4 linked regions of the Notamacropus eugenii genome follow. The protein of the gene in region 2 purifies or fractionates together with the protein of the main gene of each other region. This does not show direct contact. Links are inferred from orthologs where the notes say so. Each region holds a gene or a part of one and is shown on either strand. Other genes may lie near its edges. The genes, in order: ASF1A, HAT1, ASF1B and NASP.

The links.
Region 1: the proteins of HAT1 (region 2) and ASF1A purify together in Homo sapiens (affinity purification with mass spectrometry; 4 studies listed by BioGRID and IntAct, counting the BioPlex papers as one, with this or other methods). This does not show direct contact. The link is inferred for Notamacropus eugenii from reciprocal best matches to the Homo sapiens genes HAT1 and ASF1A.
Region 3: the proteins of HAT1 (region 2) and ASF1B purify together in Homo sapiens (affinity purification with mass spectrometry; 6 studies listed by BioGRID and IntAct, counting the BioPlex papers as one, with this or other methods). This does not show direct contact. The link is inferred for Notamacropus eugenii from reciprocal best matches to the Homo sapiens genes HAT1 and ASF1B.
Region 4: the proteins of HAT1 (region 2) and NASP purify together in Homo sapiens (affinity purification with mass spectrometry; 3 studies listed by BioGRID and IntAct, with this or other methods). This does not show direct contact. The link is inferred for Notamacropus eugenii from reciprocal best matches to the Homo sapiens genes HAT1 and NASP.

Annotation. Positions count from the first base shown.
Region 1 is NC_092873.1:200,818,716-200,826,466, forward strand, and holds the start of ASF1A (histone chaperone ASF1A), read left to right. Parts: upstream 1-4,742; 5' UTR 4,743-5,419; coding exon 5,420-5,528; intron 5,529-5,992; exon of another isoform or gene 5,993-6,594; coding exon of another isoform or gene 6,595-6,637; intron 6,638-7,751. UniProt on the Homo sapiens protein: Histone chaperone that facilitates histone deposition and histone exchange and removal during nucleosome assembly and disassembly.
Region 2 is NC_092876.1:233,635,992-233,643,896, reverse strand, and holds the start of HAT1 (histone acetyltransferase type B catalytic subunit), read right to left. Parts: upstream 3,013-7,905; 5' UTR 2,778-3,012; coding exon 2,675-2,777; intron 2,288-2,674; exon of another isoform or gene 2,130-2,287; intron 1-2,129. UniProt on the Homo sapiens protein: Histone acetyltransferase that plays a role in different biological processes including cell cycle progression, glucose metabolism, histone production or DNA damage repair. Coordinates histone production and acetylation via H4 promoter binding.
Region 3 is NC_092875.1:76,827,814-76,834,827, reverse strand, and holds the start of ASF1B (histone chaperone ASF1B), read right to left. Parts: upstream 3,084-7,014; 5' UTR 3,073-3,083; coding exon 2,763-3,072; intron 1-2,762. UniProt on the Homo sapiens protein: Histone chaperone that facilitates histone deposition and histone exchange and removal during nucleosome assembly and disassembly. Cooperates with chromatin assembly factor 1 (CAF-1) to promote replication-dependent chromatin assembly.
Region 4 is NC_092873.1:506,735,150-506,742,426, reverse strand, and holds the start of NASP (nuclear autoantigenic sperm protein), read right to left. Parts: upstream 3,019-7,277; 5' UTR 2,640-3,018; coding exon 2,593-2,639; intron 1-2,592. UniProt on the Homo sapiens protein: Component of the histone chaperone network. Binds and stabilizes histone H3-H4 not bound to chromatin to maintain a soluble reservoir and modulate degradation by chaperone-mediated autophagy.

The sequences.
Region 1 (7,751 bases), on a different chromosome or scaffold from region 2:
CCAAACTGACCTCCTTGTTATTTCATAAACTCAATATATTCCATTTCCCAACTCTATCCCTTTGCGCAAGCTGGTGTCCCATGTCTGGAATGCATGTCCTCTTCACCCTCACCTTTTAGAATCCCTAGCTGGTTTCCTTCAAAGCTCAACTCATCTGGCAACCTCTTGTGGGTAGGACTTCATGATTTTCATAATTGCCTGTATTCTCTCCTTTCTCAAAATATATCTATTTATGTTTATATGTTGTATTTCCCTAGAACATAAAATCCTCTACGGCTAGAACTGTTTTTTGTTTTATCTTTGAATGCTCAGTACCTAAGCCAAGTGCCTTGGACAGAGTAAGCGCTGCATAAAAGGTTGTTGAATTAGACTGGATTAAAGCCTAATTGTTCTGAAAAAATGGTGCTATGATGAAAAAAAAAACAGGTTATGTACTTGCCCTAGGTCTTAAAAGAACCCTCCCAAGAGACTGAGGGGTAGGAGGCAGATCCTGTCTCACATGAGCAATTGCTAGATTGAGGTTATTCAATAAATACAATCTTTTCCCACATGTGGTGAGTGTATCTGTTGTGGTTAATTGAGTCTTTGATGGGAAATACACAAAGAGCTATTACGTTTGCTTACCAATCTGAAATATCATCAAGCTAGCCTCCATCCATCGTATTAATTCATTCTTCTCCTCAGTCCTCCACTTTCTTCCCTCCCAAAAATATCCATAGATTTATTCTAACAAGTCTCACAAGTATTGTTAGCTTTTAGGTAAGTAGCAAAACTTACCAAACACCACCAAGAAATAAAAGTGCTTACAAATCCTTTGTTGTTCTGAAGAAAGAAATTTTAAAATGTTGTGGCTCCCCTAAGGGTTAAAGGAGTTGTTTTTTTGGTCATTCCTTCATTTAGTAAAGGTTTCCTGAGAATCAATGCACAAAGTATTGGGCTAACTTATAAGAGATCACTTAGAGTCAACACAGAATAGGACAAGATCCCTTTCCAAAATGGACCTTCTAGTATAATGGGATAGATAATACACTTACAGAAATAACCTTCTTTTTGACCCTTTGTTTATTGAATTTTGAATGGGGAGGGGGATGGTCTTGGTTAAGAATTCAAGAAAAGCAGGTCTCTGAAATCCTCAGCCCATAACAATTAGGGCAACTAGGTGATGAAAGGGATAGATGGCAGGGCCTAGAGTCAGGAAGACCAGAGTTCAAATATGGCCTCGGATACTTACCGTCTGTGTGACCTTGGGCAAGTCACTTAGTGTGCCTCAGTTTATTAGAAAAGGAAATGGCAAACCACTCCAACATCTTTGCCAAGAAAACCCCAAATGGGGTCATGGAAGAGTGGGACATGACTGAAAATGACTCAACAACAAATGATAATTAAGAAAGAAAATAGAAAATCTGGGCCAGTAAGGAGCTGGTATTATAGAAAGATGCCAGCTCACTATGATAATCAGTGTGATCTTCAAGAAACACAGGAAATGTGCTATCCTGACACATCAGCTGAGAAGTAATGAAGGGAATGGGTTGAACTAAAGTTGAGCTATTCTGACATTACTCAAAGGGAGCCAATTTCCCCCACTCTCCACCCTACATAAGCATCATAATGGAGTTTTATGACTTAATGAGACTTCTTAAGAAGGCTGAGACTTTCCCATCAAGTTGGCTTTAAGACAAGGCTCTTTTCCAAGGTAAGATTACAAAATTCATTGAGTTGGATTTCACTCTATTTTTACCTAGTTCATAATTTTATACTTATAAAACAACAGGGAGGAAGCATAGTACCAGAGGAAACACTGGCTTTAGAAAAGGATGAACTGGATTTGAATTTAAGCTCTGTGGGACAAATCATTTAAACTCTCTGGGTCTCGGTTTCCTCTTGTGAAAAAGAAGGGATGTATGTATTGATAATGCATTTCTGCTTATTGTTAATGTAATTTTGCTTCTTAATGGGACGATCTTTCCCATCCATTAAGCCTGAGTCACATGAGTCTAAGTCATATGGAACAGGAAGGGTAGAACAATAAGAGGTGGAGCTAGAGAAAAGGTGAGAGGAAGTTAATCAGAGAGCAATCAGAGCTGGGAAAGGCTGCAACTAGTCGGAGTGGGAGAGCTCGTTTGTGATTTGTTTAAGAGACCTGGTTTGTGGGAAGTCTAAGGAGGGAAGGCTTAAGGATGGTAGTGCCCCCTGCATTGTTAGTGTGTATAGATTTCTTGGTTACTGTGATGGATTTGGCTTTCTGGTGCTGGGGATTTGGATTTTTGGTGTCTGAATAAATGTTTTGGTTCTGTCTTCCATGTGGAGAGTCTGTTGTATTTCGAGATTCAGAATTGCGCTAGCATATTCAGGCTGCCATAGGCGCTGTGAATATCACATTGGCGCTACAAGAGATTGGTCTAGAATCAAGATTCATAGATTAGGGATTCTTCAGTATGAGTGTGGTGGACCTTCCATTGGCAGTTTGGTAAAGACTATGGGGCCCTTCTCTGAATAATATTCTCAAATACTTGAAGGAAATGTTAAATTTTCAGTAAAAATTAAAGTGTAATTTTTTTTTGTCAAGTTCCCCTAACTGTAATTTCTATCCAAAGGGGACCAAGTACCCCAGATTTGATCCTATACTCTAAATGATGTCTAAGGTCTCTTCCAGTTCTAAGAACATGATCCTATGACATAGAATTTCCCTTACAATCACTATAACATTTTAGAAATTTTATTTACCATTAATAAGACATTTACAGTAAGAAAAAAAATCATTTGCAAAGTGACATTTTACATATATATTCAGGGTATCTTTCTGCACAGAGGGCAGCTTCTACATTTATCACAGTTTTCTTATGTCAGCTTGTCAACAAAAAGGAGGACTATTATTCATATGAGTCTATCATCAAAACATATAGTACCATTTGCAGTTTGGTTTCATTATTCTGACCCATATGCTGTATGTAATAACACCAGGAGGAAACCATTTTGGCTAATTTTTATATGTGGCAGTTAAATTCTTTTGTGACACACTCTCCACTAAGCACCAAATGGAACATAACCTACCTTACTTTCTAGGCTGTGAGAACCAAGATATGGATGAAGGAAGGGATCCCTACTTCAAAAGCCAGATCTTTGGAATTAAAAAATCTTGCAAAGATCATCACAATTCTTTGTGGGTATGAAGAATAATATCTATTTAAATTCAAAGACATGCATTTTTGCAAAGAAACTGCCAGAGGGTTTTGGAGCTAGAATGGGTCTTATGGAAGATCTAGTTTATTACTTTGGAAGACTGTGTGTGAAATGTGAATTTGGAGACAAAGGGGCCAAGTTTGAATCTTGATTTTTTTTTTTACTTACTACCTGTGACCAATGTGACGATGGGCAAGTCTCAATATTTCTGGAATCATTAATTTCCTTATCTTTAAAATGATGCAGTTATACAAGATGGCTTCTAAGGTCTATACTTTTAATGGGCTAATTTCTTGGAGAATAGAGAATAAATCTATGATTTCCTTGATATAAGGAATTCTTACATGGAGGAACTTCTAGGTTGGTACCTTCTCTGCAATTTCTTGTCTTCCAGAGTTGCCTAGCAGAAGGAGAGGTTAAGTATCCAGCGTCCCCCTTACCAGTATGTCAGCATGAGGACTAGAACCCAGGGGGTTATAACTCTAAACCCAGGATACTTTCCACCAAGCATCCAGTAGGATATGTATGAGATTATTTTACTTTAAATTGAACTAGGGCTGGGTAGTTCTTATCATGAATATTTTAAAACAATAGGTGCTTTGTGAATGGAATAAATGAACACTAATTTTCACATTAGTTTTGCCATATCAATAACGGCTAATAAGTTAAAAATGCTAAAATCTCACAAAACATATGATGATTATATTATAATTATATTATAATATTATATATTAAGATTAAAAAGCCCATTTGAGCAACAAAGGGCTACAAATGAAATCAACATTTTCACTCATTGGACTGGCTTTGGCCATGCACTGGCTCTTTTAACTGCTTCTGAGGGTTAAAAATATGTCTAAAAGTACTAACAGTTTGCATCCCAGATTTTGAATTACATCTACTGGCTGAAAATGCTTGTCTTTTTTGCTTTTCTCATCTCTCCAATTTTCCTCCTTTCCCCCTTCTAATTTTCATCCCCCCCCAACAAAACATTGAGATGAATCTCATTCCATCTCTAACTTTCCATTTAGAAAATGCTTTCTAGAACTGGAAAGACTTGGAGGGGATTCTCAACTTGGGGGGGCTGTGAATTTGGATTACATTTTTTTTTTGATATTTCAAAATATTTGGATTCCTTTGTCATGTTACATATCTTATTTTAGGCATTTACAACAAGATTCTGCAAAGGAGGCTTTGCATAGGCTTTGCCAGGCTGTCAGTGAAATGAGAAAAGGTTAGGCACTCCTGGATGGGAGGCCCCCTGAGACTGGAGAGGATGGTAGTTCTGCAGAGCTGCGAGCCTCAGGACTTTAAGTCAGGAAGGTGTCTTGTTTGCTAAGACGTCATGCACACTCACAAGGCACTTCCCCCACGCGTGTGGATATTCCCCTAGTGTATCTGGGCACACTGCTCTGCTGCCCTGGACAGAGCCCTTCCATCTCAGAGGAGAACGCCGGCCTTCTCTGCTCTCCTCCCCCTTCCCCTTCCCTCCTCCCCCTTCTCTTCTCCCCCTCCCCCTCCCCCTCCCCCTCCCCCTCCCTCCTCCCCTTCCCTCTCTCTTCTCTCCTCCCTCCCCCTCCCCCTCCCCGCTCCGGCCGAGTCCCCTCCCCTCCCCGATCCCGGCTGACTACTGGCCGACACGCCCTACGTGCGAGGAGCGTGGAAACAATCCCGGGGGCGGGGCTTCCCGGCCCTCCGCGGCGCTCTCCGCCTCTGGGCCGCCAGCCCGCTCGGCTCTGCCCCGCTCGGCTCCGGAGGAGCCCTCCCCGGCCTTCCTCCCCGGCTGCCGCCCGGCTCACTTTGTTCTCCGCCTTTGTCCTCGGCTGCGCCAGCAGGTGGAGCAGCCGCGAAGCCTCCGGAGCCCGTTCGGGGGAAGGGAGCCCATCTTGCTCTCCCGGAGCAGGAGCTGGAGGAGGAGGAGGGTCAGAGCTCAGCGTGCAGCCAATCGGGGCCCACGCTGCTAGTTCGCCGAGCAGAATGGGCTGTAGTTGAGGGAAATAGCAAAGCTGCAAAAACACTGTGGAGTTGTTTCCCGGTGTAAATACAAAAAGAAGAAGAAGGGGACGCGACGACGAGGAGGGAAAGCCGACCAAAAGTTTCCCAAGTCGCCGCCGCCCGCCGTTGGCCCGGGGCCGGTGCTGGAGCGGGGGCTGCGCCCAGCCAGAACACGTTGGACTCGGCGGCGCTGCAAGAACACCCCCTTCCTATTGTTTGTGCGGGGTTCCTCTGCCTCTCTCAAAATATGGCAAAGGTTCAGGTGAACAATGTGGTGGTGCTGGACAACCCTTCTCCGTTCTACAACCCTTTTCAGTTCGAGATCACGTTTGAGTGCATAGAGGATCTGTCGGAAGGTGAGTAGCGCGGGTCCCGCCAGGGGGGCTCCGGCCCGGGGCGCTTCTCCGCGAAAACTTTCCCCAGGCCTGGCGGTTCTTTTCTTCTCTCCCTCCGCTCCTTCCCAGCCTTAGCCTCCGCCGCATCTCAGGGATGGAGGAGAGGAAGGAGGAGCAGCAGGAGGATGGGCTGCTGCAGACCTGCGGCTTCCGAGGGGCCGGCGGGGCTTCGGCCGGGGCGCGCGGCGGCCGCTGCCCCTGTCCCTGCCCCTGCCGCTGCCGGAGGGAAACTTGGAGCGGGTGCGTTTCGCTACTGTGCCCTTCGCCCCGGCGGGGAGACCGAGGGGGAGCGCGGGGAAGCCGCCCGGGTTCCCACCGCTGCCTTTTCGCGAAGCCGGGCTGAAGTTGCAAGTAACTTGTTTGAGTGGTGGTAGCCATGTTGTCAGCTTTGTCTGGGTGTGGGAGAAGGGTTAACGGGAGGAGAGGAGCCCCGCGGCCCCCCGCGAGCCTCCGCGCCCCTCGGCTGCTCCCACGCGGGGAGCTGGCTCGGCCGAGCCTCCAGCGGAGACACCCGTGAAGGAGAGGGGGCAAGACCCCCCTGTCTGCACGGCCTGGGACCGGGGGGAGCGGTGGAGAGGAGGCTTTTTAAAAAAAGAGCTGAGCCTGGTGTGTGCGCGTGTCTGCTCGCCGGAGAGTTCGAAAACGGAGCCATCTTTTACCCCCGGAGCCCCGGCGTCCCCCGGGCACCTGCCCACCTCCCGACTCCCACTGGCCAAGGCCAGCACTCGCTTCAAAGTTGCACTACTTCATTCCGGGGGCCCTGGCTCCTCCTAGCCTAAGCAGAGCGGCAGGAAAAGCCGGGGCAAGCCTTGTGCCTTCCTCTCCGGCTTCCTGAGTCGAGTGGGAGGCGGGCACAGGCTCGGGCATCCACACGCTCCCTCCCTCGGAGCTCTTGCCCCTGCCCACCCCGGCGGAGGGCAGGGTGCCAGGCAGCCTTCCCCGGGGACTCTGACAGCCGCACAGAATTCGAGAGGCTCTGGAGGGAATCACCTCCACGCAGGATGGCCAGGACAAGAGGGACTCCGGGATGCTCGAGGAGAGCTCTCTGCCAACGTCCGAGCGCCATCAAGGCTAGTTAACTGTTAGCACTAATAACTCTGGGAGTAATCATTTTACAAAACTCTTAAAATGACTTTAGGAGCAAACGTTTTCCTGGAGGTTTCAGCACGCTCCAGAGTTAGGTGGAGCGCCCTGGCAGGACTCGCCGCGTGGGCTGTGCAGACCGGGGGAGAGCGCCGGAGCTCTCCCGGCCACCTTGGGGTGCTGACCCCATCGGCAAACGCGAAGCGAACACTGCCCTTCCGCAGACTCGTAGTGAGAGGACAAGGGGGTAAGGGAAGACACGTTTGGAGTGCAGGCTTGAAGTAGGACCATAGGATTCAGAGGCCTAAGGGAGCCCTAGGAGGAATCATTTAGGCCAGCGCCCCCCCCCTTACAGATCAGGAAACTCAGCCCAGGGAGGTTAAGTGACTTGTTGTAGTGAGCATTTATTTTAGGGGCTTAAAGTATTTTATTTTTGAAAGAGGAAAATTTCATTATATTTATTTTCATCTGTATGGTATGCAGAATATATACCATTTCAGATAGCATCAAATTTACCTTATGGGTCTTTTAAAAAATGTTCTCGAATTTTTTTGTAATTTTTAATTTCCAAAATGTGAAAATACTATTTCAGATTTGTTACTGATGTACTACATTGTAGGTGCTAAATTTTAATTGAGAATTATTTTGAATTTCTCATGTGGACACATCAAAGTAAACTTCATAAAGTATCTTTTCTCTTGATTATTAACTAACATTTCCTGATGTTCTCAAACTAGTTGTTAATCTTTGTGTACAGCTCTTTGAACTTGATGGATCAAGAAATGGGCCAGGTTTTAAAAGTTAACCATTAAAATAAAGCTAAATAATAGCAAAACACAGGATTGCTTTTCCGTTTTCTCATTATTCAAAAGTACCTTGTTCATTTTGGACAGCTGTAGCCTCTTAGCCACCATCAGCATGAAGTATAAAGCAAATGAACAGGTTAAAAAGGGGGGTGCAGGGAGGAATTGTCAGGAATAAGTGTTACTTATTAGTTCAGTATGAGTTCCTACGTCATAAACATATTTTTGGTGGTGCCTCCTACTTTAGGTCTCAACTTATAAGGATTATAGGAGCTCAGGACATGAATGAAGAGCCTCT
Region 2 (7,905 bases):
GATAAATGGTCAAAGCATATGAACAGGCAGTTTTCAGAAGAAGAAATTAAAGCTATCTATAGTTATAATAAAAAAATGCTCTAAATCAGATTAGAGAGAGGCAAATCAAAACAACTCTGAGATACCACATCACACCTATCAGATTGGCTAACATGACAAAAAAGTGAAAATGGTAAGTGTTGGAGAAGATGTGGGCAATTGGAACACTAATTCATTGTTGGTGGAGCTGTGAGCTGATAAAACCATTCTGGAGAGCAATTTGGAACTCTGCCCAAAGGGCCATAAAAATGTACATACCTTTTGTTTGATACCACTTCTAGGGCTGTATCCCAAAGAGACCATAAAAATGAGGAATAGATCCACATGCACAAAAATATTTACAGCAGCTCTCTTTGTGGTGGCCAGGAACTAGAAACTGAGGGGATGCCCATCAATTGGGGAATGGCTGAGCAAGTTGTGGTATATGATTGTAATGGAATACTATTGTACTATAAGAAATGCTGAACAGGTGAACTTCAGAAAAACCTGGAGAGACTTATATGAACTGATGCTGAGTGAAGTGAGCAGAACCAGAACATTATACACAGTAACAGACACAGTGTGTGGTGATTGATTTTGATAAACTTAGCCCTTCTCAGCAATGCAAGGACCTAAAACAATTCCAAAGGACTCATGATGGAAAACGCCATCCATATCCAGAGAAAAAACTATGGAGTCTGAATGTAGAGCAAAGCAGACTAATTTTTTTTGTTTTGTTTTGAATTTTCTTTCTCATGGTTTCTCCCATTCGTTATAATTCTTCTATACAACATGACTATATGTCACAAAAATATGTTTAATAGGAATGTATATGTAGAGCCTATATCGGATTGCAGGCCATCTTGGGGAGGGAGGGTAGAAAATTTAAAACTTATGGAAGGGAATGCTGAAAATTAAAAATACATAAATTAAGATTTTAAAAGTCAATAAAAATTACCAAAACAATAACGTCAGCAAATTTCCAGCATATAAAATAAGTCTGCATAAACAATCAGAATCTATATATATTATCAACACCCAGAAAGAAGAGATTGAAAAAAGAAATGGCATTCAAAATTACTACAGAAAGCATAAACTATCTAGGAATTTATCTACCAAGATACACAAATCAAAACAGACCTAAATAACTGGAAGTATATTAACAGCTTGTTATCAGAATGAGCTAATAAATATAATATCATCTAACTTAATTTTCTTCTTTGTGTGTGTTCATCCTTCTTTGTGAAGAAGACCATGCCATCAGAGAAATAATGACAGGACTTGCACTTGACTTTGTTTTGAGTGAGGGAGAGCTGTGCAGGTCACCAGCCTCACTTCTCCTCCAGAACCATCTGAACTCAGTGACCAGATATTCATCAGGATGACTGGAGACGATCCAGGATGAGGCAGTTGGGGTTAAGTGACTTGCCCAAGGTCACACAGCTAGTGAGTGTCAAGTGTCTGAGGTGAGATTTGAACTCAGGTCCTCCTGACTCCTGCACTGGTGCTCTATCCACTGCCCCACCTAGCTGCCTAATTTGCTTATTTAAAGTTGTACCAAATGATTACTATATGGAAGTATACAAAATAACAAATTCATATGGAGGAACAATACATCAAGAATCTCATGGGAAATAATAAGAAATAGTAAGGAAGGAGACCCAGGAATACTATATCTCAAACTACAGTAAAAAAAAAAAAAAACCCAGTAATTTTTAAAAGAAATTAGTATGATTAAAAAATGAACTTAGGGGTCTAGTGTTTCATAAAACTTTAAAACATCAACTAGGCATTAAGAATTTTCTTATGGGAGGCAGGTAAAGGCAGACATTAATGCAACGTTAATGTTTCCGAAAGAAGTTTCAGCCCACGAGGCACTTTTATTCTACACGGGAGGCCGGTACCTACACTTGTTATAACGGTTTGAAAACGTCCACCACAGAGATAAAGCCAAATCGAGGCAGACTATCATCAAGTGTGGAGGCTGGAGAAGGCAAAGCAGGGTCAATACAACATAATATACTTGGGGGGAGCTTCCCCTCCCCCGCACTGGTACCCTAAAAGGAAGTCCAGGGATTGGGAGGTGCACAACATCCCGCTTCCCGACCTACAGGCAAACGGGGCTGAGAGACCCTAAACTGAAGCGGCCTCCAGGTGAGAGGTGACGACAAGCAGGTCCGACAGCGCGGGGCAGGCGGTCCCAAAACCGCGGGAAGAGAGGCTGGGCGGGGCCCTCGGCCTGGGAGGTGTCGCTGTCAGCCGGCGGAAGGAGGGGCGCTCGCGACCGAACTGACGAGGAAGGGGGAGGGGGAGGGGCAAGACGAACGCCGGGCCAAAAATGCCGAAGGGGTCGGGCAGAGGAGGGAGCCTCCCGGCCAAAACCTTGCCCTCCGCTCTCCGGCTGCCCCGGGCACGAACGGCCCCGATGGCGCCGAGGTCTGGACCGGGACTGGAGGACGAAAAGGAGAGACGCGCAAGGGAGCGAGAGCTAGAGTCCGGAGCTTGCCCTCCGACGGCAGGGCGCACAGGACGCTGTGACCACCCCTCTTCCTCCCACCCCGGGCCGGCTGGGGTCTCCGCCGCAGCCACCTCAGCATCCCGTCCCAGGGCCTCCCCGCCCCCTTTCCCTCTAGGCAAACTTTTCCCGGGAACTTACCCGCCATTTCCGTGCAGCAGGCTGAAGCGGCCGAGGAGAACGAATCAACCCGCGCGCTCCCTGCCCGGAAGTGAGCGCACCGCAGTGACGTATTTCCGCCCATTCCCGGAACGGCCGGCGGGCTGCAGAGCGAGCGTTTAGAGCGCGCGGCCGGCGGACTCCTGGGGCGGAAGCGCGGGGGAACCGAGCGGCAGACAGCCCGCTGTTGCTTAGCAACCAAGAGGGCTGACCCGCTTGTCCTCTAGCGAGGCGAAGCCGGAGGTCAAGGATCCCCAGCCCCTGACGAGTGCTAAGAATAGTCGCTGCTCTTGAGGAGTTTGTGAAGGGCTCATTTGAATAACCCCGCCCCCCTCGGGAGGGCTTACTTTCGGCCTCTGGCGTCCGTTCTGAAAACCTGGTATTAATGCTCTCGTCCCCTTTCTCTCTTTAAAGTGGGCCACCGCAAAATCGTAGAAGTTTACTCTGTCTCTTCTTTAAACTGTCCCCTGTAAGGCTCAAAGCTGACATGCTTTTGAGGGGGAGGGGGGAACTCTTACAGCAAACGGTAAACAAGCCCGTAAGTGAACCGGTACCTGTAAGTTATATGGATTTTTTTCTCCATAAATTCACTGTGGGATCAATAGGAAACAGTGCATTGAAGCGATGATTTCTGGAGTAGTTATCTAAGCAGCGAGCACTATGAAGTGCTTACGATGTGACAGGCACAACAATGTGTTGTGCGGTTCCGAAAGGCTTGTACGACAAAAGAGGTAAGACCCTGGCAGATCTGGGGCCTTGGGCTTCCTAATATTTCATAGTTGTAGGTAATTTACTCTCCTGAAGAATGACGCTCCTTTAAGAGCCCTGAACGTTGTTTACGAAGGAACGACTTTTCTCAACTATTGGTATGTGTCAGTCATGCACGAAACCGCAGATGGCTTTAAGGACCGAGACTTGGGGGTATCAGGAGAGGAAAGTTTCTTTAACTACTTCCCCCCCCACTTTTGAGCTTCATAAGAATTCTGTAGCCATGACTAAAGCTATGAGACCAAAGCTAGAATCAGAGCAAGGTTATTGAGGATCCTCTTTTGCCCTTGAAATCATATACTTCCGTGGAGGTATCATTGAATAAAAAACTGATCACAATCTACTGCAAACCCCATCATCCTGTCTGACTCTCATTTATATTCTTCCACAGATCCTCCACCGAGAATCTACCCAATGTGCTGGGAAGGCCTCCTCTAAGTCAAAGGTTCTTAACCTCGGGTGTGTGATTAAAAAACCAACAACTAGGTTTTGATAACTGTATTTCAGTACAATCGACTTACTTTGTAATCATATGAGTTTTATTTTATGTATTTAGAAACATTATCCTGAGAAGATGATCATAGGCTTCACCAGACTGCCAAGAGACACACACACACACACACACACACACACACACACACACACACACACACAAAATGTTGACAACAGGTATTCAGGTATTTTTACTTACATTAAAAGGACTACTAGTACAGCACTTAAACTGTCGATCTGTAATCCCTTGCTTATTCTACAGGATCAGCCCATCTCTTTTTCTGAGTTTACATTTCCTGAATAGCATCTCTTATAATGCAAAGAGCCCTGGAGTTTTTATCCGAGGACCTAGATTCCAAGACCAGCCCTGCAACTTGCTGAATGACCTTTTGTAAATTAATCTCTTTAAGCTTTGGTTTCTTCAACTATAAAATGAGAAATTTGACCTCTCAGGTCCCTTCTAGCTCTGTGTTATAGTTTTGTAATCTAGATTTTATACATAGGGAATTGTGTGTGTTCGTCCTGTGTTGCCCAAGAAGACCATGCCATCAGAGAAATAATGACATGACTTGCACTTGACTTTGTTTTCAGTGAGGGAGGGCTGTGCAGGTCACCAGCCTCACTTCTCCAGAGCCATCTGAATCCAGTGACCAGATATTCATCAGGTTGACTGGAGATGACCCAGGTTGAGGCAGTTGAGGTTAAGTGACTTGCCCAAGGTCACACAGCTAGTGAGTGTCAAGTGTCTAAGGTGAGATTTGAACTCAGGTCCTCCTGACCCCTGCACTGGTGCTCTATCCACTGCACCACCTAGCTGCCCCATATAGGCCATTGTGAGTCAAAAAGACAAGGATGTTATCATTATTATATAAGCAAAATGTTGACCCCCTATAAAAAAATTTTAAATTCTTTGCAAGTGGCAAAGCTCCAAAAGACATATCAACATTTTAATTTTGGTAAAAGCACAACTGTCACCAGTTTTGAGGTTTATATATAAGAAATCATTAAGAAGAATTAGTGTTTTCATTGCACTAAATCTTTAAAAAGATGACCAGAACTGTGAAGTTAGGGTTTTAGGGAAGAAATAGTAAATACTGGTAGTAGCAGCTACCATCATTTATATGTTTTTGAAGGCAGTTTCTTTATAAAAACCTGCAATGTAGATAACTAGTATACATCAACCCCATCATGTTGCTGCCCTGCTTAGTAGTAGCTTTCGGTGTTACCCATATTCTTTAGAATAAATACAGACTCCTTAGACTGGTTCTTAAAGGTCTCCAATCTGGTGTCAACCTACCTCTCCAGTTATATTTCTCATTGTTCTCCTTCATTTGCTTTAAAATCCTAAGAAACAGAACTGCTAGCTGTTCCTTGATTTCAGCTTTCCATTTTATGCTTTAATGTATTTGCACAAGCCTTACCCCATTCCTGGAATGAATTCTCCATCACTGCTTCTCAGACTCCATTTTTCTTCATAGCTCAGTTCCAGTGCTACTTACTCTGTGAAGTCTTCTTCAAGTTTCCCATTGTTGGTGGTTTCTCCCTCCTCAAGCTTCCTTGTATTAATTGTGTATATTAATAGAATAGAATAGTAGAATGCAAGCTCTTTGAGGACTGGGACTTTCAGTTTTATCTTTACCCCTTCAGCAACTTTCACAATGCTTTGCAAATAGTAGGTACTCAAAAATTATATGTTGACTTGATTTTTCCAGTAAGGAAATTGAGACTTAGAGTTATTTACCTAAAAAAGTGGTAGAACTGTGACTCAAACTCATATTTTCTGCATATAGGTCCAGTGTGTTTCTGACATGTTGCCTCTAATGTCATGTAACACATTTATTCACTGAATTAAAAACAACAGTATCTACCTAGCACGGTTTCTTCTTACAGGGTCAAACAAAAAACATCACCGGCAGTAGCCTTTACAAAATTGCCATATAGGTGTTAGGTACATAGTATACTCTGAAGATAAAAGAATTTCTTTCCTCACAAGGCTAATTAATAGTAAAACTGTTAAGAGCAAAAGTGCAAAGTACATTATGAAAGTTAAAGCAATAAACTATATGTTTATAATAGTGTTTCAGTAGATGTTATAGTTTCAAATGGAATTTGTATTTCTTGTTTTAAGAACTGCCTCTTTACATTTTGGGGGGCATTTTATCTATTGGAGAATGGATCTCATAAATTTGGGCCAATTCCTTGTTGATTTGGGAGGTCAGACTTTGGTCAGAAATGTTTGTTGAAAATAGTCTTTCATCCCAAATCTGTTTTTTTTTTTCATTCTAAAAATTAAATTTTATTTTAAATGCATTACTTTTTTTTTTTTTTTTGCTGTACCAGACTTAGTATATGAACACCATCTATTTTTGTTTCCTGGGATTACTTCTACTTGAATAGCTTAAGAATTGTCTATTTACAGTTTCAATTGATTGCATTCCATTATCTTCAATTAAAAAAATATTTAGACAAATTGACCCATTTGGAATTTATTGTGGCATATGGCCAATTGTGGATCCTAAGCTTATTTTAAAAAACTATTCTGCTATCTAATTTTTACCAACAGTTTTTGTTAAATAATTCATTCTTACTCCTTTATTTTGTCATGGATTTACCAAACACTAATCTAGTCGTTTGAATGCATTTGGAACTAGTTCCTGGTTAGCAAATCTATTTTGTTGATAGTTCTGGTAATTATTCCTTTAGGTATAATTTGAGATCTGGTAATAGAAGTCCCTCTTTCCAGTTTTCCCCCTCCATACTTTCCTTTGAAATTCTTGACCTTCTGTTCCATATTAATTATCTTAATTTGCATTTTTCTATCAGCTATTCCTTGGGTTTTTAATTAATATTATATTAAGCCTATATTAAAGTTGAGTAATGTCATCATTACTGTATTAGCTCAGACTAGCCATATACTTTGACTCTAATTAATTGATTCTTCCTCAATTTCTGTAAAAATGACATTATAAGTTAATACCCAAGTATTTGATATTTTCTCATTGTCTTAAATGGCATTTCTCTATCAATTACTTATGATTTTCATTGTAACAAATAGAAATTCTGTTGAGTGCTTCCTGAATAGTGTCCTGAAAAAAAGAAAACTTAGTCAGAAACTTTTATTTAGAGAGCACTGAGCATCACTACAAAACTGAAATTCCTGCTGTCATTCGAGCTACCATTCATAGTAAGCGCCACCTAGGCAGATAGGCCCAAGAGTCTTGGGAATAGCAAAGGCCACCCAGACCACAGTCTTTCTTGCCTCTGGAGTCCCTCAACAATCTAGGGAAATGATCCCCATCCCTGATACCACCAACACTAGGTGTCTTAAGCTTGTTCTTCACCTCTTTGTCACTCACAGCTTTTGAAGAATATGAGAACAAAGTTCTTGCCAAAGTCCTCAGCACCATCAAATGGATCAGTGGATGTATTTTGATGGCAATGACACCAAAGATAAATGCATTACTATCTGCTTTTTTGCTGCGCACTAAAGACCACTAGGCCTTTCCATCTAATTTACAGCTGAAACTTCTTAGGTATTTTTTTCCCCTTTTGTTAGAATATGAATTCCTTAAGAGCAGAGACCTACTTTTCTATTTAAAGCCTCAGCTTTAGCACCCTGCTTTGCTCATAGTAAGAGTTTTATCTTTTTTTTCATTCATCTAATCTAACAGGAAACAGGTTGTTGATGGTGTGTGTTTTGTCCATTGTTCCTGAAAAAGACCATGCCATCAGAGAAATGATGACATGACTTGCACTTGACTTTGTTTTGAGTGAGGGAGAGCTGTGCAGGTCACCAGCCTCACTTCTCCAGAGCCATTTGAATCCAGTGACCAGATATTCATCAGGATGACTGGAGATGACCCAGGATAAGGCAATTAGGGTTAAGTGACTTGCTCAAGGTGACACAGCTAGTGAGTGTCAAGTGTCTGAGATGAGATTTAAACTCAGGTCCT
Region 3 (7,014 bases), on a different chromosome or scaffold from region 2:
TACACTTAAACCCCAGTTTTCTAATATACATTAACAGTACCTCCTTTCACCCAATGGTACATTCAAGAGAAATGAGCCATAACTGTTCAATAGGTCAGTTATCTCCTGTGAATGACAGTGCCAACCAAAGCAAGTATCTTGAGTTCCAAGTATACTCAGGGCAAAGTTATAGCAATGCAGAAGGATTTGGCAACTAACCTGAAAATGTTTTAGACATCTTAAAATCACAACCCTAAGCTCAAGATGCCTGGGAAAATTTTCAGGCGCCATGATTCCACAGAATGTGATTACTTTGGGACAAGATACTTGGTACAGTACCCTTTTAAGGAAGGAGTTCTGATCTTAGGTAAATGCATCCTGGATAATTTCTTGCTAAGGTTTTCCTATAACACCAGGTTCCTCATTTCTACAGCAACTATGTGCTTTTCTACCTTTTCAATTTAACTGGAGTCTAGAGCAGAGGTTCTTAATTTTTTGTGTCATGGACACCTCAGAATAATGTTTGAAAATACATAAAATGCTTAGTATTATAAAGGAAACTGGCTTTATTGAAATAGTCATCAAAATTAAAAACAAAAACCCAAGTTCATGGACCTGTGTCTTGAGGTAGCCGTCTCAGTTTATGAACTGAGTTACATCCAGTTTAAAAAAAAAAACCACAAAACAGCGCTAAACTTTAGGAGTATCTGAGTATAGTAGATCTATTTCTAAACACCTGGGTTCCACAACTTGTGGCCTATAATTTTTGTATTTTCAGGAGAATCCTGGACCAAAGGATAAAGTAAACTGCTCGATTTCTAAAATGAGCTGTTTTAGTTGTTTTTAGTTGCTTTATGGAATGTTGACAGGATTAAGTGAGAGGTGAAAAATGGTTTGTGTCAGGGAAAAAGAGGATCAGTTAACAGTTTGTTATATGGCTTCTTAGGTCTTAAAACTGGCAAGCTGTGATTTCTTAAGCCCTTTAAGCAATAGTATGCCCTCTCTCTAGTCTCTAGAATTTTGTGCAAAAGGTAGCAAAAAAGTGTAATTCAACAGGAAAATGCAAATTTCCCAGGTAATCAAATCACTAACAGATTCAGTTATGGAATTATCAAGTTCTAGTTCTCAACCTAAAAAAATCAGGCTTCCTAAACCATAAATTTTATGCCATACTTTTAAAAGAGAAGAATGGTAATAGTGTTCCAACTTCAGGAATATGACAAGAATGAAGAACACTTAGTCAGCAGCTGGGAGATCCAAATTCTAGTAATTACTATTCCACCTCACCATATGACTTTAAGCAAATTAACTAAGAATTTAGTCTCTTCAAACTGTAAACTATAAACATAATAAAGGCTAAGGCCTATATGAATAGTGTGTGGCCCTTGAAGTAAGTTAATCCAAGTGGCAAAGATGCTCTTATTAGTGGCTAAACCCCCTGGATTTTAAATTCTGTCTTTCTATATTCTGCCTTATTAAATTCTGCTATCCCCACAGGCAAAGGGATAGTCTAGTAAGAGTAAAATGGAAGTTAAGAGTATTTGAGTCTATTCCTAATTCACAGAGATTCACTGAGTAACCCTGACCATTTTGTTAGTACAATATGTAGAACACCTTTTCTCAAAGGAGAGAACCTTACTTTTTCTGTCTCAGCCTTCTCATCTGGAAAATGAAAATGGTGTTGGCTTTAATATTCTTCAGTTAAATGAGACCATCTTTAAAAGTACTTTCATGAGGGGGATGCAAAATTACAACCTACCAAGTACTTATTTTAAATGATACCTATCTTCCCAAAACCATATAGCCCCCTCTCCTAAAAGCACATTTTTGGAGATATATAACATTCTTTGCAAACTTCTAAAGCACCATATAAATGAAATGTTTAAATATTATTGCTACTCTCAAATAACAGACTCTCAACTCATGGAACTTTCTACTACTTTAGTAGCAGAGCAGTAGAAATGGCCTTTTAGGAACAAGCCAGGTAACAGCTAGCCCCTGGATACAGGGCAGGGGTCCACACTAATTCAGGCAGTTCTAGAAAAGTGTAGGGTAGGAAAGATTAAAGAATTGTCCAAGCACTGGGGCATTTAGGAACCACTTTCTAGCAAGAAAGATCAGGCGTAGTTGGGGGTAGACTGGAGACGTCATCCAGGAAGAAGCCATCTCGGATTTCATTAAAACCCTTCTTCTAATAGGTGGAAAAGGGCCACAGAAATGAATGAGGGAAGAGTAACAGGGATAACCTCCCGGAGGCTGGAAGCAGTACCAGGCAGAAGAGTGGATATCCAGGCTTACTTGAGAGCGCTGCTGACACAAAATCCTTTGCAGTAATATTAAGTCCAGAACCTCAGAGATGGACGGGGCCTCAGTGGCCCCGAGCGCTCGCTTCTCTATGGCTCATTTTAAAGCTTCCAAGGAGCCTGGTGGGCGCTATCATCATCTCAAAAGCACAGAGGAGAAATCGCAGGCTCCGAGGGTTAAAATGCCATGCCTAGGGTAACACAAACATTGAACTAAGCGCCGACCACCCAGGCCGGGGAGCGGGGAGGCAAATATCCAAGAGAGACAGGCCCCTTGCCCTCAGCGCGTTTATATTCTACTAGACCAAGAACAGAACACTTTATTAAGGTGCAGGCGGATACCAGAGGGAAGCTTTAGCATCCCACCGGGGCGGGGCGGGAGCCCGATTCGTGGGAGTCAGCATAAAGGAGTCCCCTCCGTCAGGAACGCGCGGGGGGAGACTGGGAGATCCCGAGGGGAAGGGGAGGGCCGGGGCTCACCGTCGGCCAAGGCCTCGCTGCACTCGAAGCTGATCTCGAACTGGAAGGGGCTGTGGAAAGGGCTCGGGTTCTCCAGCACCGACACGTTCAGAACCGAAACTTTGGCCATGGCCTCGCGGGGGCAGGAACGAAGCACACCCTCCAAGCAGCAGCCGCCGCCGCCGCCGCCGCCGCCGCCGCCGCCGCCGCCGCCGCCGCCGCCGCCGCCGCCGCCGCCGCCGCCGCCGCCGCCGCCGCCGCCGCCGCCGCCGCCTCCGCTCTCCCTCTCGCGTCCCCTCCGCGCGGTTTCCACACCAGAATGAGGCGGCATTCCCCGCCCCTCCCCCACTTCACCCGCCCCGCGCCCCCTTCAAATAGCCGGACCCGCCCCCCGGCCAATCCGCTCCAACGCTTTCCTCAGCGCGAGCTTCTAGGGGCCAATACGCAGTCGCCCGTCGAAGTGCGTTCAGCTTCTTCCCAGCCAATCGGCTGCCCTCCCTCGCCGGCACGCGCGCGCCCGATTCTGCGCGGATAGACGGGTGTGTGTGGCGGGAGGTGTGTGGGGGGTGTTAAGGCGCTCATCATCCCTCTTTTGGCGCCCCAGCGTGACTGCTCTCTCTTCTTGATGCCAGCCAATCCCCGGCGCCTCCGCCTCAGCAGTGGACTCGTTGTGGCAGAGCGCAGAGTGAGCGCGGGGATCCCTGGGACCAATTGGCGTTGAGGGGACGGCCTTCGGGACGCGCGCTCGTCCCCGCCTCTTTTTTCCTTCCGTTTGCGCTCCTTTTCCCTTCGGTGTACGGAGGGGGCGGGGGAGAGGAAGCAGAGCCGCTAACTGCCGAATGGGGGCGCGAGGCGCTAGCGGAACACTACGGGTTCCCGTAGTGATTGACAGAGGGGGGAGGAGAAAGAAGAGTTGTGCCCAAAGGGGATTGGTCAAGCCGGTCTTGAGGGGGCGGGAGCAGGCGGAAGGTGAACCCGTAGTGTGCTGAAGCGGCGGTTACACTCAAGCACCGTCTTCGGTCGCGCCTGACGTTCTCCGCCCCTTGTGAGCGTCGTGGGCGGTTGGGCGGAGAGGCGGATAAGCCCAGCCTTCTGCCCGGGGAGCCTCCGGGGCCTGCAGCCGGTAGTCGTGTTCGCTCTACCTCCGGCTCACTCCGTGCCGCAGCCGGGGTCGGCCCGCGGAAACGTCCGATAGCCGCCGTGTCTGGAGCCGCTGAGACCTCAGAGATGGTTTAGTCCCACCCCTTGTGTTTACAGCCGAGGCCCAAGGTCACACGGACTGTTCTGGACGGAGGCTGGATCCCAGCCCAGGCCCATCGCGTCACGCAGGAAGCAAGTGCAGTAGCGGCAGTTGGAGCCCAGGCAGTGACCGCAGAGCTCCTTTCACCGAGTTCTACCAGCATTTCGAATTTTAGGCCTGTTTAACTTACGCAAAGGATGCCTTGTAGGTATCTGCCTCCACCGGTCCAGAACTTCTCTTGTAACTTTCCCTTGGAATCACACGTGGGAGTCTTCAACGAGTCGGTCTGTCTTCCCTTCCATGGTCAGTCAGCTGTCAACTCTCCAGATCCGGCCAAATCTCCATTCTGGCATCTGCCTCCCATCAGTCTCCTTCACAAAGGCCACTTCCCTAGTAGAGAAGCTCATTACCTCTGGCCTGGACTCCTGCTGTAGCTTCCTCATTGGTCTCCCAGTCACGAGTCTCTTCCCCTCTCCAGTCATCTACCACACAGATTCAAATGTGATTTTTCTCCCCTCAATATGACCTTACATAGGTTCCCCCCAAACTTGGAGTGCTTTCGTCCCTCACTTCCATCTTTTATGTCCCTTCCTTTAAGGCTTAACTCCTGTGTCATCTCCTGGAAGAGGCCAATCTTTATGTGTGCCCCTCTCCATCCCCCACTTTGCTAATCCTTTCCCTCCATTAGTGTATGTTTTGTATTTATTCGTGTATGAGTTGTCTCTCCCCAAAAGATTGAAAACTCTTTGAAAGCAGTGAATCTTTGTTTCCTTAAAGTCAACTAATATTTAAGCCCCTGCTATGTGCCAGATACCTCGGTAAGCTCCACAGTCACTCTGCTGAGAGCCCCTGGCAGAATCCCCAGCTCATAGTAGGCTAAGGATACTGACATTTAGTGCCTAGAGCTCAGAACCTAGCACAGTGTCTGACACATAGTAGGCGCTTAGCAGATACTTGTTGAATGGATGGAATGGTATAGACTGAGTCAGTAAGAATTCAGTTCTAATCCTGTCTCTGACATAGGTTGTGAGACAGTGGGCATATCATTTAACATCTTAGACCCTCACTTTCCTCATCTGTAATATGCAGTAATAGTACTTAGCTCACTTCTTCACAGGACAGTTGTGCCTTGTGTACATTGTGTGTTTGTCCTTCATTCTCAAAGAGGACCATGACATCAAGATGATGACATGACTTGCAGTTGACTTTGATTTGAGTGAGGGAGGGCTGTGCAAGGTCATCAGCCTCACTTTCTTCTCCAGAGCCATCTGACTCCAGTGGCCTGATATTCATCAGGATGACTGGAGATGGCTCAGGATGCAATGGGAGACCCTGGTCATAATTGATGCTTAATAAATTATTGCATGAAGGAATGTCTCAAGTGATAATGTGTGTAAAGTACTCTTCTGACTTTAAAGCACCATACAGATCTTGGCTAACATGACCTAAAGTATGAAAGGTACCTGAAATTGAAGATGAAAATTTGAAGATGAAAAATATTTGAAGTACTTTAAATATTGAAGTACATATAAGTACTGTACTGGGATACCAAGTTTAAAAATACCAGTCTCTATCCACATCCAGAGAACAATGGAATCAGAATGCAGATTGAAGCATACTAGTGTCTCTCTCCTTTTGTTTTTTCTTTCTCCTGGTTTTTCCCTTTGGTTCTAATTCTTCTTTACACTCTGACCAATGTGGAAATATATTTAATATGATTGTACATGTATACCTTATATCAGATTGCAGGTTATCTTGGGGAGGAGGGTGAGGGGGAGAAAATTTAGAACTCAAAATCTTATAAAAGTGAATGTTGAAAACTAAAAGTAAATTTAAAAAAATATATATTTAAAAATATTGGTCTCTGCCTTCAAAGAACTTAGGTCTACTTGGAAGTGAGGATAGGGTAGACTAGAAAGCGTAATGCAAAGTAGAATGTAATGGGGCAAAGGAAGGTTCAAAGTACTCTAGGAATATTTGAAAGGAAGGAGATACTCAATTGGAAAGATCTGATGTTCCAACCTCCTCATTTGAATATTGGGGGCCTGAGAGAGGAAATATAAGTGGTAGAATTGGGACAATAATTGCTTACAATTTTAAAGAAATTTAAACTTTATAAATCATTAAACTTTATAATTACACAACTATTTGTCTACTGCAAATTTATGTTCTACAACCTCAACTGGGCCCTCACTGCTGCTAGGCAATCTTTCTATACCTCCCTTATCAAGTCTTTATCCTACTCCACAGTTTCTCTTCCAAAGCTCCCTCCTCAAACATTCCATGGCTCCTCCTTCCCCACCCCTCTCAGTTGAGATCCTTGCCTCATATTTTACAGAAAAAAATTAAGACCATTTTCCCTAAGTTCCTTCTCCCTTTTTCCTCACCTCCCATCATTCAGATAGTTCTGCCACTATCTCCTTCACCTGTCAGATCCTAAGGGGATCCGACTCCTTACCAAGGCCAGCCCCTCTGCCTGAACAGGTGATACTATTCCATCCCCCACCTCTGTGAGTGGTCCCCACTCACTCATCTTTTTTTTAATTAGAAAATTTTATATTGCACAATCTATTTCCATAGTACTCATATTATTTTTTAAAGCAAGAAAAATAAAAGAGAATATTCATTAGTTCTCTTTCTGGAGGTGGATAGTATTTTTTAATCTTGAATCCTTTAGAATTATCTTAGATCATTGTATTGATCAGAGTAGCCAAGTCTTTCACAGTTATAACTTTGTTACTGTGCACAATGATTTCCTTGTTCTTCTCACTTCCCTTTACATCATATTTTTTCTGAAACCACCCCCTTTCATTATTTCCTAAAGCACAATAGTATTCCATCACAATCTTATATTACTTGTTCAGCTGTACCCCAATTGATAGGCATCCCAATTTCCAGTTCTTTGCCACCACAAAAAGCTGCTTTATTTTTGTACGCATAGGTCCTTTTCCTTTTCCTTTGATCTCTTTGGGATACAGACCTAGTATTGTTATTTCTGTGTCAAAGGGTTTGCACTATTTTATAGCCCTTTGG
Region 4 (7,277 bases), on a different chromosome or scaffold from region 2:
AATGATATTAAATTGGTGTGCTCAGAACTGAACACGAGACTTCAGGTAAGGTTCACTAAGGATCTCTCTTCCAGAAAGATGCCCCTTCTAATACAGCTCCAGCTTCCATTCCAGTCTACTCATGCCTCCATATTTGTGCTCATTTGTCACTCCCAAGAATAAGGCTTTACATTCACTCCTAATGAAGATCATTTAATTAGATCAGCCCAATGCTCTCTCTAGCCTGTCAAGATCCTGTAGGAATCCTACACTCTGTCTTTTCTGTGTTAGCTCTCCTTCCCTGCTCTTGTATCACCTGCAAGTTTTCTGTGCCTACCAAGTTTGCCTTTATCCATGGAATTGATAAAAATGTTCAATAGCCCAGGACCCAAGTCACTGAACCAGTAACAACCACCTGAACCTGGGGTCCATTCACCCATCCCTCCACAGTTCTGCATCCAATGGATTAAATTATCACCCAATTCCCATCTCTCCAGGTCATCACCAGAACAGTCTAAGAAGACTTTATCAAAAAAAAAAAATTTCCTTCATCTATGAGTTTAGTAAGATTATTGAGAAAGGAAATGAAATCGGCCTGGCACAACGTGTGCTTGATGGAGACAGATGGGTGGCTTCTCTCAATGTTCACCAACCATCTTCTTTAGCGATATGTTCCAGACTTTCCACAGGAAGCCAGGCCAAATTCATGTGCCTGGAGTTCACCTGACTGCTCCCTTCACATCTGCCCTTCTCCAAGCTTGGATTACTTCCCCCATGTCCCACATAACTGATGGGGGCTCAGCAGTCCCATACATGCCAGAGATTTCAGGCCCGCCTCACACTGGGGGCTTGAATTTCCTCCATCTCAGTGAGGACTAAGGACTGACTGGCTATCAACATCCCTCAGTCATTTTTATTCCATCGTTTCCATTTTGTTTTTGCTGACACAAGACCTGAGCAGCTCAGTGGTTTCTCTTGTCACTCATCCCATCTCCCCCAAGCAAAGGTCCCTTTCCTGCTTTGAGCCTCCTCCTTCCAATATAACTAGAAAAGGCCTTTCTGCTCTTGGCTGCCTTGGCCGGTCTCAGTTCATTCTAAACTTTAGCATTCCTATTTTTAGAGTGCGGTGTACTCCATTCATTACTTGGCTTTGCTTCCCTGCTCTACCTTGCATCATGCTTCAGACAAGTCTCGTTTTCCCTTCTCATTGGAATAGATTCTCTCTATCCTGGAGGCTTTTATTCCTGAGCAGCTCCCATGGTTGGATCTCCTGCTCCAACATTTTGGCCCCAGCTTCCAGTTCCCTGTTAGTCAGATTCAGATCCAGAAAGTCATTTTTCCCTGTTGGTTCCTTCCTATCTGGAAGTTATTGGCTGCTCTACTTTGGGCAAGAGGCGGGCAGCCCCCCAGAAGGCCAGGCCGGGCGTCTGCTCCTTTCCCTCCTCCCTCTTTTGATGTACCGCTGCTTCTCACCTCCCACTACCAACATTTCCTCGCTGGCCTACATTCTGAGCAAGCCCCAACCTCCCCTCCCTCCCTATTTGGGGTGCAGGGCCCCTCGGTCTTCCACGCGGGCCGGCTGGGCCCCAGAGCAGAGCTCGGCTGGAGGCACTGACCGAACAAAAGGCCGGCCTGGCCCCCTCCCCCTCCTCCGTGGTCTCAGGTCCCGGGCCCCCCTCCCGCCCCAATCAGGGACTGCAGGCTTCTCAGGAGCCCCGCCCCCGCCCCCGGTCTGGGGGCTTCTGGGAGGAGAGGGAGGGGCCAGAGGAAGCACACACCTGGGGTGCGAGGGGAAGGCGAGGTCATAACCCTGCTCTCGCACGAGATCAGGCGGGGCCTTACAGACCCCGTGCCGGGGAGGGGTCGGCGGGGGGACAGTCGGGACCCCGAGGCGCGCGCAGCCTGGCCCGCAGGAGAAATGCGCTTCGGCAAAGCTCCCCCAGCGAACGGCCGGAGCGGCTCCCTCGGACGCCCAAGGACCCAGTCCCAGGGGGCAACCTGAACTACGAATAGGACTGCGAGTGCAAGGTCGCGGGCGCAGCTCCATCCGGGCCGGGTCCAGCACGTTTTTGGAAAAGGGAAACTGAGGCCCGAAACCCGGGCGCTGCGGCCCCATCTCCGCCCCCAATCGCGCACGCGCACAGCTCACTCCCCCCTCCGCCGCCACAGACAATGGGAGTTTTCCCGCTTTCCGGTAGCCCCGCCCCTTCGACGACACGCGCCTGCGCAGGCGCCCCAAGACGCCAGGAAACTCCGCCCCTTCGGTAGCACGCGCCCGCGCAGGCGCCGAGAGCCCCGCCCCCTCCGGAGCAGCCTCGCTCCTCGTGAGGGGAGCTTTCTTTTGGCGCCAAATCCCCAGGAGCGGAATGGCCACGGGACTGAGGGGATGCGCGTGCACGTGCACGTGCCCCGCACCCCCTCCCCTCACCGGCCTCCCCGGGACCCCGGCGGGTAAGATGGAGAAACCGCCGCGGCGCCGGCAAGATGGCGGGCGACCAAGAAAAAAAGCCGAGAGGGAAAAGGAGGGGAGGGAAGGCCGCCTCCACCCTCCACCCTGGTCCCTGGCTCGGATCCGCGCAGACCCCGCCCCGCTCCTGCCCCTGGCCCACTCACTTGTCGGCTGGGGCGAGCTCGGCGATCGCGGCGGGCTCGGTGGCCATGGTCTTTCAGAGGCGGGCGGGCGCAGAGGACAGAGACGGGGAGGGGAGGAAAAGAGGGAAGGGGAGACAAGGGCCGGGCGTTCCGCAGCTCCCGAAGCAGAAAATGGCAGATTGGAGAGCCCGCGTCGCTCGAGCCGCTTTATATAGCGCGGCCCTGGGCCCCGCCCACTCACTTCCGTTCCGCGTTTAAAGGGCCAGCACAGGTGCAGCCCTCCCCGGGTCCCTCCCCTCCACTATCCCGCTCTCTGTGGACTCGGAACGCCCTGGAGAAACCGGAGGTTCCGCTGGTAAGAGGCGAAAGATCTACCTCTGCTTGCGGGCTCGCAGCCCAGGAGAGAATACATTTCCCTGGAAAGATGCCGTAGTGACCCAGGACTCCAACTCCCAGCAGGCTGCGCGCCCCCGGGGGGGGGGGACTCCGGAAGTAGGGACCGCGAGGCTTGCTGGAAGTTGAAGTCTGCTCTGCAGCCCCAGACGCGCCGTTTGGCTACCAGGTCGGGGTGAGGAGGTTCCAAGGCCTGAGCCGCCTCCTGCTCTCGCTTCCTCCCCTCCTCCGACACTCTCGTTCCTGGTAGAGGTGTCGACTCCGACCTGAGGATCTGTGACGGAGCTGCAGGAAAAGGAGGGGGAGGAGGAGCAGAGTGGCTCCAGCCTCAGCAACGGGTGACGTCAAAGGACGCCTTTTGTTTATTGGCCGAGACTGCTCCCGCGGCTCTTCATTCAAAGCGTCGCCCGCACCCTGGCGACCTAGCGCCGAGGCCTCCTCCTCACGTGGGCCTACTTGGGTGCCGCCCCAAGCCGAGGCCTCAGCCAATCGTCGCGCGCTTCGCTGAAACTCTCCAGTCCCTTTAACTCCCTGCTCCTCCTTCCCGCTTCATTCATTCTCTTCTCCACTCTTCTGCTCCTTGCGGGTCGCCCGGGGCCGGACGCTAGGGGAGGGCGTGGAGCTCGGGCTCCCGGGGCCGGACGCTAGGGGAGGGCGTGGAGCTCGGGCTCCCGGGCCCTGCCCTCGGCTTCCCCTCCGCCAGCATGGGCGCTGCTGCGGAAAGTGCCCCGAGCTGGGGCGGCTCGAGGCGAGATGGTGGCGTTCGTTCACGGGGGCCCCCCAAGCCCCCGTGACCCGCGCCCCCGCACTGCCCCCACACCTTGGAGCCGCCGGGATCATCATCTCTTAGCCCCGAGTCCCCCAGCCCGCCTCTCCCTTACTACGTGCTGAGGGTCGGGGTCCTGACCCTGGAGCCGCCCAGCTCCGCTGCCTCGTCCTCCTGCGTCCTTTTCCCCTCTCCGGTCCTCAGCCCTGGATCCCCCCACCCTCCTGGCCATCCGATCCCTGGAGGGAGTTAGCACCCCACTCCGAGGCCCCAGCAGCACCCCTCCTGTCCTCTCTGCCGTGCCTTCCTTGGAAAAGTAGGGCTCGGTCGAGATCTGAGCTCCGCCGCCCCCTCCCCTTCTTTCTCTCTCTCCGTCCTCAGCCTCTGCCCTGCCCACCCCCGACCCACTCGGCCAGCGCTCCCTGCTACTGGGGAGGATGGGCAGGGGGGAAGAGGTAAAGGACTCCTCCTCCCTGGAGCGCTCCGCTCCGGGGGGAGGCCGAACCCGGGAGGGTCCGGGTGGCCCCTGGGCGGGGAGGGGAGATCGTGGTCCCCGAGCAGAGCCGCCAGGGCAGCCCCACTCCTGCGGCGGAAAGCCGGGCACCTCCCGAGGACGAGCTGCGGTTTGGCGGCCTGGGACGCGGAGCGGGCCCGCCGCTTTCTTTTCTCTTATCTTGTCTTGGCTTTCCTTCTCGTGCTTCTCCACTTCGCTGTAACCCTTCTGTGCCGCGGGACTAACGTGAAGGTGCGCCTGGCGGGAGTGCGTGTGTGGAGCCCGGTCAGGCGGCGTGCCTTCTTGGGGACGAGAACGTGAATGGTGGAAACCAAATAAACAGAACGGGCTCCCAGCGTCGAGAGACTTTTGGTCAGCCTGCTGGGGCAGAAGAGGGAATGCAGCGAGACCCGAGAGGGGACAGGCTACGTTAGCTGCTGCAGAGTCCGAAGGGGAGGGTCCCCAAACTTTTTGGATCACCCGATCCCATCCCTAAAAGATGTTTGGGTGTACTGGAGTGTGGAGGAAAGCATTGGAAAGGAGAGTGATAAAAAGAAGAGTTGGAGAAGGGATGAGCAGCTTGGCACAGCGGGCACAAGTAAGACTGCCCATGGGCATCCTTTGAAAACGAGAACGAACCCTTTACACGCTGTGTCCCCCGCCCCCCATCCTCGCCCCCCTGCTGAGCTGTCTGCCTTCGTTAGAAAGGAGCTTCCTTGAGTCCGGTGTCTGCTCTGGCACGTTCAGCACTTGGCACAAGGTCTGTCCGTTGTAAACCCTTAACAAATAAAGCTGAGGCCAACATAGATGTTTAAAGGGTGAAAGATGAAGTAATGCTTTCTGTGCTAACGACACCAAAAAGTCTTCAATCCTGAGTCTCTGGCCAATAATGATGATCGTTATTCGTTTTCGTTTTTGTGGCAATTAGGGGTGAAGTGACTCGCCCAGGGTCACACATCTAGTAAATGCCCGAGGTCATACTGAATTCAGGTCTTCGCTAGGCACTGGCTGCCCCAATATAACTGAATACACCTTTTTTTTTTTTTATTTTGGCTAAATTGATACACTAATCCAGTGATTCAAAATTCAGTACAAGTGGATACTTGGTCTTAGTAGCTGGAAAAGTGCCTTGGCTGGTTCCTATTGAAGCCTTGCTTAATCACAAGATTCATTTTCCTTTTTTTTTTTTTTTTATTTTTTAACATTTTCATTTAAAAGTTTGTGTTCCAAATTCTATGCTCGAAGTGGGCTTTTCTTTTTTTAAAAATCAATATTAATGTCTTTTGGATTTTTTTTCACCACAGTTTTTGCTAGTATCCCTCCTCCTCTGACTCTGTCTCCCAGAGAGCCATCCCTTATAACAAATAGTATTTTTTTCTTTTTTTAATATATTCATTTTATTTATTTTTAATGTTCTATAATTACTACCATAAAACTTAGATTTTTTTTCCCCCTACCTACCCCCCCCACAACTCCCCCTGCCTCTGCAAGACGACATACAATTCTATATAGGATCTACACATACATTCCTATTGAATACATTTTCACTATAGTCATGTTGTGTAGAACTAAAATGAATGGGAGAAATCATATAACAAACCAAAACATAATACACACACACACACACACACACATCTGCTACATTCTGCGATTGAATTCCATAGTTCTTTCTCTGAATGTGGAAGGCATTTTGCCTTAGAAGACCATTGGGAATTTTTTTTTTTTAATGTCCTTGCATTACAATGAACTTCCAAGTCTACCAGAAAAAAAGTCTCAGACACTGTAGTCGTTGCTGTGCACAAAGTTCTCCTGGTTCTGCTCCTTTCACTCAGCATCAGGTCATATAAGTCCTTCCAGGCCTCTCTGAAGTCTTCTTGTTCATCATTTCTTATGGCACAATAGTACTCCATTACATTCATATACCATAATTTATTCAGCTATTCCCCAATGGATGGGCATCCCCTTGACTTCCAGTTCTTGGCCACCACAAAAAGGGCTGCTATAAATGTTTTTGTCCATGTGGGCCCTTCCCCATTTTTATGATCTCTTGGGGATACAGTCCCAGTAGCGATATTGCGGGGTCAAAGGGTGTGCACATTTTTGTAGCCCTTTGAGCATAGTTCCATACAAATAGTATTTTTTAATGACAGAAAAATAAAGAGGAAAAACTCAGCATAACCAATAAGTACATTCAAAAAATTATGAACATTTGTGCAGTGCACGTGAATACTTGTGGACTTCCCACCTCCACAAAGTGGTGTGTGTGTGCGTGTGTGTGTGTGCGTGTGTGTGTGTGCGTGTGTGTGTATGTGTGTGTGTGCGCGCTCCGTTTCTCTTTTCTCAACCCATTTCTTACAACAACAAAGATCCCATCACATTTATGAGCCATCCTTGTTTATCCATTCCCCCAACGCATAAGCATCTCTTCTTTCTGGGTCTTTGCAATCACAAAAAGTGCTGCTGTAAACAGTACAGAGAGGGCCTTTCTTCCTGTCAATGTCCTCTTTGGGGCAGAAACCCAGCAGAAATATGGGTACCGGAGGTACTTTTTTGCTTTTCAGTTAGAAGTTGCTTTTCAAAGTGGTTTTCATGATTCGCGGCTCCACCAGCAATGCACCTGTTTGCCTCTCTTCCCCCAACCCCTCCAGCATTGACTATTCCCTTCTTTGTCATTTTGGCCAGTTAGCCAGGTACAAGATGAAACCCCAGGGTTGTTTTGATCTGCATTCCTCCTGTTTGTAGTGGTTTGGAGCATTCTTCCATGTGGCTGTGAATACTTGGCAATTGTCCTTATGTCCTCTGACCTCTCATCCATTGGAGAATCGTTATTAATCTTATTTGTGTTTATTCATTCTTTATACATCTCGTTCTTTCACAACATGACTAATGTGGAAGTATGTTTAATATGACTGTACGTGTATAACCTATATCAGATTGTTGCTCTCTTGGGGAATGAGGGAAGAGAACAAAATTTGGAACTCAGAATCTTGTAAAAGTGAATGTTGAAAACTATCTTTGCATGTAATTGGAAAAAAATAAAATACTGTTAAGTGG